3 linked regions of the Danio rerio genome follow. The protein of the gene in region 1 interacts with the protein of each later gene in a pairwise test. Links are inferred from orthologs where the notes say so. Each region holds a gene or a part of one and is shown on either strand. Other genes may lie near its edges. The genes, in order: max, mxd4 and mxi1.

Region 1 (4,166 bases):
ATCCATCCGACAAGCGAATCCAGCTAAAAATAGTGCTAAACATAATAATTAAATAGAAAATAAGGCGATAACTGCAAAAAGGTCCACATTTTGAGAAAAAAACAACCACCTCTTTCATCAGGCTGCTATGGGCCTGCTATTAAAGAATCAGGATCAGTTTTATTTTGAAATGCATTATATAGTTTTCTATGTTATAGTTTTCTTCTGAAATGATCTGCTGTATTTGATCTAGATAATTGATTAAAATTACAAAACTAAATACTTTTCCCTTATAATTTAAAGTTGAAACAACTGTCTATATAAAGATTTATTTTTGCCCGATCACAGTCATAACAACAGCAGTTGTTTGTTAAAGGGTTTTAAATTATTAATATTAAAGTATTTTCAGTAATCTCTGATCACACTATTGATAACAGTATAAAGTAGGCCCACTACTAATGAATCAAAATTGTGTTTTCTAAGACACAGCTTTATACTGTTATGAATAACACCATTATTAGAGAATCAGGATCAGTTCTGTTTTAAAATGAGATATGTTACATTAAATTTGTCATGACAACAAGTTTTCCTCTGAAATATTTTGTAGCTACAGAATTATTATTATGCTTTAATACAGCTGTGATAAAACCACCACATCCATAATAATCAAAATAGCCAAAACAACATTGTTTTTATTCTCCGGGTTTTTTTTATATAATTGTTATTAATAAAGTATTAGCAGAAACTGACATCCAAACCGTGCTGTTTTTGTTTGTTTATTTCTGTCATTTTAAACTGTCATCAAGTTCACATTTAAAGTAGGTCGTTAGAGTAACCATGTTTCTGTGTTTTTATAGCTCTGATAAGAGTACTAAAACAAGAATATTACCAATGGTCTAAATATTTTTATAGTTTGCAATTACTCACAAATATGCACAGTATTAGTGACCCACGTATTAGTCACAAACAACGCTGAGCAATCTCCACGTGTCTTGCTGGTTCCGAGACATGTAAATGAACTACAATTACCACCTCCCATTGCCACCATAAGGGCTTTCCTTCAACCCCATGTAGAGACTCCGCCCAGAAAAGCTGTCTGGGTGTTGTAGTCCTACACAATAGTTCCGTGGTTACATCCACCGACTGCGTAACTTAAACAAACGACAAGTCCCACGATGCTCTGCGGCGCAATCACAGACGTGACACGCCACGGTAAATGTCCGTGTGTAGGCGAGTCACGTGTGGGGAGTCCGTTGATCTCGTTTCGTGTAAGCAGTGAATCTCTCCTGTTTGTTCATTTGATTTGGGCCCCGTTTCATGTTGTTTTCAAAACAACATTTCGTGTAGATTTATCTATCTTCGCCGAAGAATGAGCGACAACGATGATATCGAGGTCGACAGTGATGTGAGTATAGTTATTTTTGTTTGTACTCTGCATGTTTGAAAATGAAACCTCTTGTATTTTCGATACTTGAGCCTCAATACGGGGCTAGCCTGCTAGCTAGTTAGCCAGCCAACCTAGCGTTTGAAATAATTTCCCAGCCAGTTTATTGAGAATATCCAGCCAGATAAGCGATTAAACACGGGGGTCGAGTCTATACTCGTCTCCGTATGTGTACATTTGCGATTATGTGTAAGTTACTAAAACAGTGTATTGCATCCATCAAATAGCCAGTTAAGTATCACTCTTACAGCTGTAGCTACAATTGTACTTTCTGTTCTGTTTTCTTACAGGAAGATTCACCGAGATTTCACGGTGTGGTGCGTAATAAGCGGAGCAATTAATCCAGTTTAGCCTTTAATGCTGAAAATATCTTCTCTTTTTGAGATTAGCTACCATATATTTCCGGGTAGGTACTGAACGCCGACTGATTTGCATCGGTGGAAGACAAAACAATATAGGATGATGCCTTAAAAGGGGGCATGGATGTGTTGGATTCGATGAGCACCGGGGTCTGCTTGTTTTGGGTGGTTCGGGGAGCTCTGTGCTCGACAGCAGGGCACTTGCTGCAGGAGGGAGGGAGGGACGTTGGCTGAGCGAGAGCCGCAGCCACACTGCGAGTGCGCGACGCGATAGCCCAAAAGCTCGCGTCGCAGAAAGCCAGCAGCGAGATCTCTGTATCCGAGCATTCTGCTGTGTCGTGACGCTCGCAGTGTGTGTGTGGCGCAGTAGTTAGACGATGGAAATATACGACGGCAGGGTTATCATTTGAAATCTATGGCTTTAACATCAATGGTGTCTTGTTTTTGTTAGATCAGACCGTATATGAATAAATAAGCAACATTAAATATTAATACTGAACCTATGGAACATCCCCCTTGCCGATTTCCAAAGACATTTTGTACATTGTTTATACTAAATTGTCAATGTACGGATAAATTATTTTAAAATGATAGTAATACACATATCTTTGTTATATTAAAAAAAGGGTTTAATGGGGATTCTGTGACTCTTATTTTTCTAAATTAGAGAAATCTTAAATTCGTAATGGCATTGGCATTAATGTTGAATGTGCTTAAACATGTAATATCTAAACAAGCAAAAATGAATACATTTAATTTACTTTTGCAATAAATTGAACAAGTCAGGTTATGCTTAAAACAACAACAACAAATATCTGTCAACAGGGAACGAAAATTGATGAGTTGATTTTTTGAGCTCAATAAGCTCAAATGTTTGCTGTTTTAATCATAAGCTCACTTCATTTTGATCCATTTCAGGAATTTATATCATGTCATTTTGTTTCTTAAGTAAATATCTTAGTTTAAAGATCTTTCCATATTTTATCTGCAAAACAAGACGACAATACTGAGGATAAACTAAACTTTTAACAGTGTGATGAGAACATATATTTTCTGGTTAGTGGAAATCTAGTTATACTATTTGTTTTGTAAAATGATTAAGTTGTATTTTCAAATTGTGTTCACTGTCAATTTAGAGAAAATGTTGAGTTGACTTATGTGACCCTGCTACACTAACCCAGTCTTATGTTGCATGTCAATATCATTATATGGGTACATGATAAATGTACATTATCAATATTTATTTTATGCTACAATTCATTACAATATTGAGTTATTTAGTAAATATACCATAAGCAAAACTAAATTTTTGATAAGTACTGTGCGTTAAACTTGAAACTCAGCTTTTTTTTTAACCCCCAGATTACAGATGTTTAAATTGCTGTATGTTGGGCAAGTATTGTCACGGACACCTCATTAGTTCAGCTTTCAGATAATGCACGAATCTTAATTCCCAAAAACGGAGACATGTCACTGGTTTTGTGCTACAGGGTCACATATTGTCTTTTTATAATTAGATTTTTTATTTAGTCAAAGTATTAAAATGACCTTCATAAACCTGCAGAAAGATTGTGGTAAAAGTTTGGAACAAATGGAGTTCACGATGCAGTATTAATTCTTTTAATGGGTTTTTAATTACAAAAATTTCCAGTCTGATCAGTGACTTTTGAGAGAAGTTGGTTTGTCATGCTTTCCTTACATTACTCATGCATTTGCAATAGCCTTTAAAAAACAACACAAACAACAGCAAAGAAAACTAGGAACATTTCTTATGATATCTTATAATCCAGATACAAATTAAGTGCAATAATCTTTAGATTTTGTAATTAAAATTAAAGAGAAGCATTTGGTGTAGAACCTTGTCGTTTCCTATCCAAAAAAACTGATAATTGCAAATTTTAAATGAGCTTGACAGATGAAACTGTCTCTGAAATACTGGGCACAGCATAAAATGGTGTGTTAAATTGAGCAATTTGACCATCAAAAGGTCATAGGTCTTTTGTTTTGTATTTATTTTTACAATACATCAGCGTTGCTTTCAGGAAATTAGATTTAGGTTTCATTTTCTGGAATAGTACCACAGTCAGTTTTCTACTAAAATGTTTATGTTCTGTCAGTGTGGTGAGAAATCGAGCCCCGCCCCTGCAATCGAGTTTGCATAGGACCCTAATGGATCGTCTACGTTGAATGCCTGATGAAAAGTACTTTCTATAAACTATTCTCAGTCTTGAGATTTTAACAAGACTAATCATATTAGTAACATTATTATCGGTAACTCCAAGTTAAAGTATTTAATGATGTCTTTTTGATATCTTTATGTATTTATATGTAACATTATATATTTACATTAGAAGTGGTAGCAAGTCGTGGGCTAAAATATATCT
Region 2 (3,655 bases), on another chromosome or scaffold:
TTACAAGTATTGTTAATCTTTAGTTCATTTAAAAAGAGCCACACTTTATTTTAAGGTAGAATGTGTGCTGTTAGCAAACTATTAACTATGACTTTTGCCTCAATTATTCCTTGATTTGCAACATCTTATATTTATTGAAGTAGTATTTTTCGGTATTTCGTTTTTACAGTAGGCAGGATTAGGGATGTAGAATTAGATCATGCAGAATATATTCTCTCTCTATAAGTAAACAGCCAACATCTCAATGAGAAATGTTACCTAAAGTGTTCATAAATAAGGAGTTGAGTCAGATAATCACACAAACAGTTCTCATATAAAGCTGCAATCACAGTCCATTTAATGTAGTTTCTAAGTTATGGTTGCATGATTTCAAACCCACAACCTCAATGTTAACAACCAACAGCATGATCCTAAATCATTCTCTTTGGTTTCAAATTTGTCCTCGTCTAATTCTCCCCTCCACCCTCTTCTTTGTTTCTTGCAGACGTGCCAAACTGCGATTGTACCTGGAGCAGTTGAAACAGCTTGTGCCTTTGGGTCCTGATAGCACCCGTCACACCACACTGAGCCTGCTCAAACGTGCCAAAATGCACATCAAGGTACAAACCAAATCAGCATTTCTTTGCACAATATCTGTTTGCACAGCAGTAAAGAGGCTTGAGCAGTTCCAGTCAGAAGGGAAGTTAATCAGAAACTGTCCACAGGAAATTTATGCCACTCTCCATGTTGCAAATCAGATACCTCACAGTTCCTGACATGGTGAAGATGGATGGTGATACTTTAGCTGTGCTTAAAAAAATTATGAACAAAAAAAGTGTCATCTAAGTGTGTGATGCATCTGACAATTCAGTTCAGAGAATCAGTGCATCCTGTGTGTGCAGTTTTTTATTTAAGGTTAATATTGATTTTTGAGTTGTATGAAGTACAAAATGTCAGAGTGTTGCAAATGTTCAGTTATCATTAAAGAAAAAACCCTACTAAATCATAGTTTAGTAGTGTGATCACAACCAACAGGGCGAAGCAGTGGCACAGTAGGTAGTGCTGTCGCCTCACAGCAAGAAGGTTGCTGGTTTGAGCCTCGGCTGGGTCAGTTGGCATTTCTGTGTGGAGTTTGCATGTTCTCCCTGCGTTTGGGTGGGTTTCCTCCGGGTGCTCCAGTTTCCCCCACAGTCCAAAGACATGTGGTACAGGTGAATTGGGTAGGCTAAATTGTCCCTAGTGTTTGACTGTGAATGAGTGTGTGTGTGTTTCCCAGAGATGGGTTTTGGCTGAAAGGGCATCCGCTGCGTATAAACGTGCTGGATATGTTTGGGTTTCATTCCGCTGTGGCAACACCAGATAAATAAAGGGACTAATATGAAAAGAAAATGAATGAATGAATGAATCACAACCAACATACATAATGAGTTTTATGATGAGACAGGTTAAAGGGTTAGTTCACCCAAAAATGAAAATATGTTCATTAATTAATTTTATTTTTCAGCTTAGTCCCTTTGTTAATATGGGGTTGCCACAGCAGAACGAACTGCCAACTTATCCAGCACATGTTTTTTTATGCAGCAGATGCCTTTCCAGTTCCAACTCATCACTTGAAAACACCCATACACTCTAATTCACACACATACACTACAGACAATTCACCTACACCGCATGTCTTTGGACTTTTCGGAGGAAAGCCACGCAAACACAGGGAGAACATGCAAACTCCACACAGAAATGCCAACTGATCCAGCCGTGGCTCAAACGAGCTACCTTCTTGATATCAGGCGACAGCGCTACCCATTGCACCACCGCATCGCCCATAAAAATATATGTTATTCTATAAGATATTAACCTCATGTTGTTTCAAACCTCTGAGATCTTCGTTCGTCTTTGGAACACAAACTAAGATATTTTTCTTTATAGACAGCAATAGTCCGATCTCGTTCAAGGTCCAGGAAAATAGGAAGAAAAAACATTACATAAATAGACCACATGCATTCAGTGGTTCAGTTGGAATATTGTCAAGCTACGAGAATACTTTTGTGTGCACATAAAATAAGAAAACAACTTTATACAACCTTTTTTTCTCTTTAGTGTCAGTATAGACCATTTTGAGGGATATAAACAATAACAATAGTCCAGACGTGTTTTCTGTTTTACATTTTACATTTCCATAGCTTCTTAGAGTCCAAAAAGTTCCATGTATTGATAAATAATGTTACAATAGCTGTTATAGCTTCAAGTTAGGATTGAATTGCCTCTTTTTACAGATATGAAATAGTTTGACAACAAGAAGGAAATTGTTTATGGGCCAATGAACTCACCACATTAAAATGGTCTATAGGACGCACATTAACAAGCAAGGGTCATGGATGCCACTTTAGCTATGAAGCCATTTTAATTCTGTCAAAAAGTTATTGTAGTCAGTTATTACTTAAAAACTAATTGTAAAAAATTTTCAAAATATAACTGCAGTGTACAAATTCTTGCCTTGCAAATTTATTTTTGTTAAATACAAACAAACACTCTGAATGCCTTTGTGTGACTTCCAATGTTTGAAATTGAGGTTTGGTGTACCTCAGCAGTGCAACATGAAAGCAGAATTCATAAAAAGCACAGCACTCTTCTGAACACTCATCTTATAGACCTTTTGCTTGGAATGAAAAATTACCCTTTATGCTTTGCGTGTATGCGCAGGGAGAATTGCTAAGAACTCCGGTCGGCAGCTTATGCATGTGACACGTGAACTAGGAGAATGTTTTTCTCATATTTTTGATGTGCTTGAACCACATCTGACAGATTAAATCGTCTTTAACGGACACATTTCTAAGTGTAGTGTCACAAAAACACTCTGTAATCTATTAAAAACACTATTGAAATCCATTTTTTTCTATTGTAAACGCTGTAAACGGAAGTTCTGACCATTCTACCGGTAGACGCTGGTCGCTATGGCGCTTTCCAAGCAGCAGCCAAGAAAAAGGTCTATACTAGCTTGACAATATTCTGAATAAACCACTAGTCATATGGTCAGTGTTGAGGATGTCATTTTGTGTTTTTCTGGTTTTATTCTAAAATCTCTTCATTTGTATTCTGAAGATGAACACAGGTCTCAGGGTTTTAGAACAACGTGAGGGTGAGTATTTAATAACACTAAACCCTTAAACCATGATATTTTGTTGTTGTTGTTTAATGTTATACAATCTCATTTAGTATAAGAAACTGTTATCACTTTTTTGCTTAATGTGTATAACACACTGCACAGTTGAGCTTTCAATTTGAAACTTTTCTTGAAAATGACATAAATGTTTCAAAAATACACAGACTACTCTTTTAATAGCTACATATTTTCCTTGTCCCTTTCTATATCACTAATGTCTAGTGAATGGAAGTGGTTCAACAACTGTCATTGTGTAGACAATGGCAACCCAGTGCCATGTGTCTGTTGACCCTTTTTCTTCTTTCCTGTTTGCTGCGCAGTATTTTTGCTCAATCTGCCTGATTTCCTGTCGTGCAATATAGATCTGTCTTTATATAAATATGTTTGTTTCATTTTTAGCTCCGAGAAATAGTGAATTTATGGCACCGTGCATGCTCTAGTCGACTGATAGATGGTACATGTCATACAGTGTGGCGTCTCTGTGCTCTGTGGTTTGATCAGTGGATACATGTGCTC
Region 3 (4,353 bases), on another chromosome or scaffold:
AAAATGGCTGATGGAAATGGCATTAATTTTGAAAATAACTGAGTAGGATAAACTTTTTATTCAATAAGAAAAGATGCGCATTAACTACGATGGAAACACTGTTACCGCACGAATTTCAGTATGCGCATTATAAAGGTCATGTAATTTTGTGATAAGAGATCATGTGATGATGAAAATGTGTATAAATGGACAAACCAGCAGACTGAGCACATTGTAAAACATCTGAAATGTTGTTATGGTCATTCTAAAATGCCTTAGCATTCAAGTATTATTGTTATTATTTTATTAATGACCACCAGAATCAAGAGTGTCTGTGCTTCACGCCTTCAAACACCACCGCGCGTTCACTGCATGGATTGCCTTCTGAAGTGCAAGTCATTTATTAAATAAAGAAAAGATTCATGCAGCTTCTCCTACTGCAGCAAATTCAGTTTTTACTGTTAATAATTGCTGACAGTTAACCAGGAAGTGATAATTTTGTTTGCTTTGACTCGTTGGATGGAAACTCAGCTTTATTCGTCTGTCGTTTATTCGATAATACAGTTTTGCGCATAATGTTAATTCGCATTTTTGGATGGAAACATAACTACTGTCATGCTCAAGAACTGTCCTGTAAAGCCGCCTTTCCACTGCACACGACATTTGGACACGACTGTTGGAATACGCCCCCTTGTGGCAGCCGCACAGTATTTTCAGTGTTGTCGTGCACCGCGGGGGAGAAACTGATTCTCACGGTGTCCGAAATAAAGGAGGGCAAAAGCAAGAGCCTTTATTCTCTGTGCGTTTAGATAGTTTAATGGATGAATGAATACTAGAAACTCATAGACCGCTAAAATATGAAGGGAATGTGGAGAGAACATTAAAAATATTTATTTTTATTACTTTCTAACTTACATTTATGAACAGAAAAGTTTTTTTAATATAGACTTTTTATAATTCAAAAAATAACCAAATAAACTCCTTTTCTCATCTCGCATACACGGATCTGCTTGGACAACACTGGAATACATCATATCCGGTCGGCAGGTCGCATACGGTCTAGTCGCAGGAGTTCAAATTTTTCAACGGATCTGCGACTCAATTCGGATCGGAATTTTCCACATACGGAGATGATCGGAACTCAACGCAGCTCCCGGACTGTGGACTGCTCTCCATTTGAAATGAATGACTTCCGGCTGTTGCTTGTCGTTTGTTGTGTGAAAGTTTTTATTAATTAAACTGTTTAAATATTTAGGCAAGTAGCCTAGTAGGCCAATTCACAACATGTATAATAAGTTGTTTACAAGTAAGTTCCTGCATTACTTCATGTAAAGACATCGATGGTTTCTATTTCAGCTTTGTTTTTGTTGTTCGCTGTTATATCGTATTGGGGTGCGCGCGGGCCGGGGGTTTAATGACGTCACCCTCTGGGGGAGCATTGTAGACGTGACAGGAGTGCGCGGAGGGCGGACACTAGGACCCGGGGACGCCGAAGTGTTTTTATCTCCTCATCCATTACATTCCCCTCATTTATTCAGTAGATCCACTGAGCGCAGCACAGCACAATAACTCACACAACAGTTTCATTTCCAACCATATTCACTGCACGGGGACGAAATGGTGAGGAGCGAGAGGCAGCAGACAGAAGTGAAGGCCGAAGACTTGTTCCTGGAGTCCGAGACCTCTTTAGATCAGCAAGATTTTGAGATGTCTACTTGTCCTTTCAATGACGTCTTCAACTCCACAGACTCTTCCATGATAAACACTTTCCTGAAAAACGTACAAGTTTTACTGGAGGCTGCCAGTTACATTGAGAGCGCCGAGAGGAAGGATGGAAGTAAGTGAAATTATAGTGCACTTGTGAGGGATTGTTCTGACTCATTTGCGTAATGCAGAGAAACTGTTTCATTGTCAATAGACTCAGACAACAAAGGATTGAGTTCAACGAACAATCAGCCAAGTAGACAAGGAGCATGTGCAATGTGCCTCAATTTGAGATTCACAGCCTCAATGCTTTTAAATGAAGAAGTTTATTATAGCTAAATTGAATTTATTTAATATTTTATATATTTTTATTTAATATAGATAGCCGCACACAATCATCCAGTGCATACTCATTGGATTTATTTCAGATCTGTTTTATAACTGCAAAAAACTGATTTAATGTCAAATCTGCGTGGCTGTTTTCCACTTCGTGTGTCAAAAACAGATGAATAATTCCCTCTGCAGCGCACTTAACGTCCCAATTCGCTGGCGGACTGTCCCAAGCTGGCATGTACTGTCGTATGGGGCATTTCAGAGTCTGGCATTGTTCGCCAGTGGAGCATGCCAGCTCGTTTGCCACCTCTTTCTCTCGAGGAACATAAACAAGAAAATAAATAATTAAATAAGCAACATTTGCTGGCACAACGCACAGGATGACGTCACCTCGCAGCTTTTTCCCCTTTAACTTTTCATCACGCACCAAAACATGAAGACTGAGTACAATAAAGCGCTTATGGTACTAATAAACTCATTTGTTAATATATGAAGTTGTTTTGTGTGAACATTTGTTTTGGAAAATTTACACGATATACATTTTGCCTCCTCTGAATATAATAAATATTAAAATGATAATACTAATAATATAAAGTGCATATTAATATTAGGGATCAGCAGATTATATTCATGTTTTTTTCTGTCAGATATATTCGCTGTATTATTCGCTTCGTATTTAAATAAACGCATAATCATATCGTGTGGATCTAAAAATTGTTCATGCAGACAGCATAATCTACTTCAAAAGAGTTCTCCAAAATTGCCTTCCTGTTTCCTAGGGGGGTGTGTTCACATGACATCCACATGGCGCAGTTTTCACTGCTCTGATTGCTCAGTGCCAGTTGCGTTGGTGGAGGCTTACCAGGGCTCCTGTCCAATCGCAGAGCTGTTGGGCTGTGATGTCATATGTTGCTGGGCCTGGCTTAAACAGCGCTGGCAGTGAGGGGTTGTGGGAGTTGAAGTGCGTTGTAGCCAAATCTGAAAATATTATTCAAATAAAAAAAGAGCAACAATAAACTTTTATTACACACATATTACACAGATGAACAGGTGAAAATGTTACGATAGTATTGTGAAACAAACATCACTACTTTTTATACACATGTATTTATTTACAACATACTTTACATGCCAATTTGCACATAACACCTGCATATGTTATATGTAGGTTTATACCCATACATACACTATTCAATTTCTATATTTGTATTCACTTTTTACTTCTGTTTTTAAAATATATTCATTATCTGTTTTTTGTTTTGTCTCTGATTGTGTTGCACTGTTGTATGTGTGATGTGTACCTTTGTATTTGTGATCATACCTCGCAATCAGGGGCATAGCGGACATTTTAAAAGTGAGGGGGGCAGCTAAATGAGATTTAAAAGTTTACGTTTATCTTACTCACCTGTTTCTAAATGGTCCGACTCTAAAAGTATGAGAGACTGAAAAGTCCCTGTCCCCGTGCTTGCTAGACCCCTGCTGGCAATAAAGCTCTTTCTGATTCTGATACGTTAAGTTTATAATTAAGTAAAAGACATGACATTTTTTAAACTCATTACAACATTGTTTTGTATAAAGTAGATTGCAGGATTATGATTTAAATAAAATACCACGTTTTATAACAATATAATAGTAATACTTATGACAGCATGTAAAATTAGCATGTTTTTTTCTGGCATGTTTTAGTCTCACTTGCTAGAGATGCCAGATATTCACTGAGTACTTTAGTTAATGTGTATATAAATGTATCCAGTATTATTAATAATCAATAACCAAATATAAAGTATAATATTTACCTATATACAGAGAATTTACATTTTTAGAGTTAAATGCATACTGTTTAAAATATATTTTATAGTACATTACTTAATATAACATAAATATAACAATTATATAAAGGGCTCAGCACATATAAGTACACCTCTCACAAGTCTCTAGACATTAGACTAGTCAGTACTGAAGCCAAACCTAGAGCAACTTGCCTTAACCGTCCAAAAACTAGTACAGCCAAATGTATATGTTATAGAAAAATTTAAATACATATTTAAAAAAGAGGAAAAAAATCAACTGATGCAAAAAAAATATTACTATTTTGTTGAAATTTTGTAGGTTGTAATGATTTTGGCGATATTTAGCTTGAATTTAATTGTATTATGTTTCAATTTCTAAATGTTTGGTGACTAAAATATTATTTTCAAAAATATATTTGTCTAATAAATCTGTTTTGTTTAAATGCACCACAATACATTGCCTATATTCACTGAGAATTGGATCAAAATATTAATTTTCAAAATGATATATACACATTTTAAAAACATGTTGGCAGTAGCCCAGTTC

Evidence for each region.
Region 2: the proteins of max (region 1) and mxd4 interact in a two-hybrid assay, tested with the Homo sapiens proteins (2 studies listed by BioGRID). The link is inferred for Danio rerio from reciprocal best matches to the Homo sapiens genes MAX and MXD4.
Region 3: the proteins of max (region 1) and mxi1 interact in binary tests that used the Homo sapiens proteins (3 or more experiments, as listed by UniProt). The link is inferred for Danio rerio from reciprocal best matches to the Homo sapiens genes MAX and MXI1.

The regions. Positions count from the first base shown.
Region 1 is NC_133195.1:31,576,303-31,580,468, reverse strand, and holds the start of max (protein max), read left to right. Parts: upstream 1-1,240; 5' UTR 1,241-1,348; coding exon 1,349-1,384; intron 1,385-1,713; coding exon 1,714-1,740; intron 1,741-4,166. UniProt on the Homo sapiens protein: Transcription regulator. Forms a sequence-specific DNA-binding protein complex with MYC or MAD which recognizes the core sequence 5'-CAC[GA]TG-3'. The MYC:MAX complex is a transcriptional activator, whereas the MAD:MAX complex is a repressor.
Region 2 is NC_133176.1:27,732,799-27,736,453, forward strand, and holds part of mxd4 (max dimerization protein 4), read left to right. Parts: intron 1-484; coding exon 485-599; intron 600-3,078; coding exon of another isoform or gene 3,079-3,115; intron 3,116-3,655. UniProt on the Homo sapiens protein: Transcriptional repressor. Binds with MAX to form a sequence-specific DNA-binding protein complex which recognizes the core sequence 5'-CAC[GA]TG-3'.
Region 3 is NC_133197.1:32,209,667-32,214,019, forward strand, and holds the start of mxi1 (max-interacting protein 1), read left to right. Parts: upstream 1-1,525; 5' UTR 1,526-1,596; coding exon 1,597-1,816; intron 1,817-4,353. UniProt on the Homo sapiens protein: Transcriptional repressor. MXI1 binds with MAX to form a sequence-specific DNA-binding protein complex which recognizes the core sequence 5'-CAC[GA]TG-3'. MXI1 thus antagonizes MYC transcriptional activity by competing for MAX.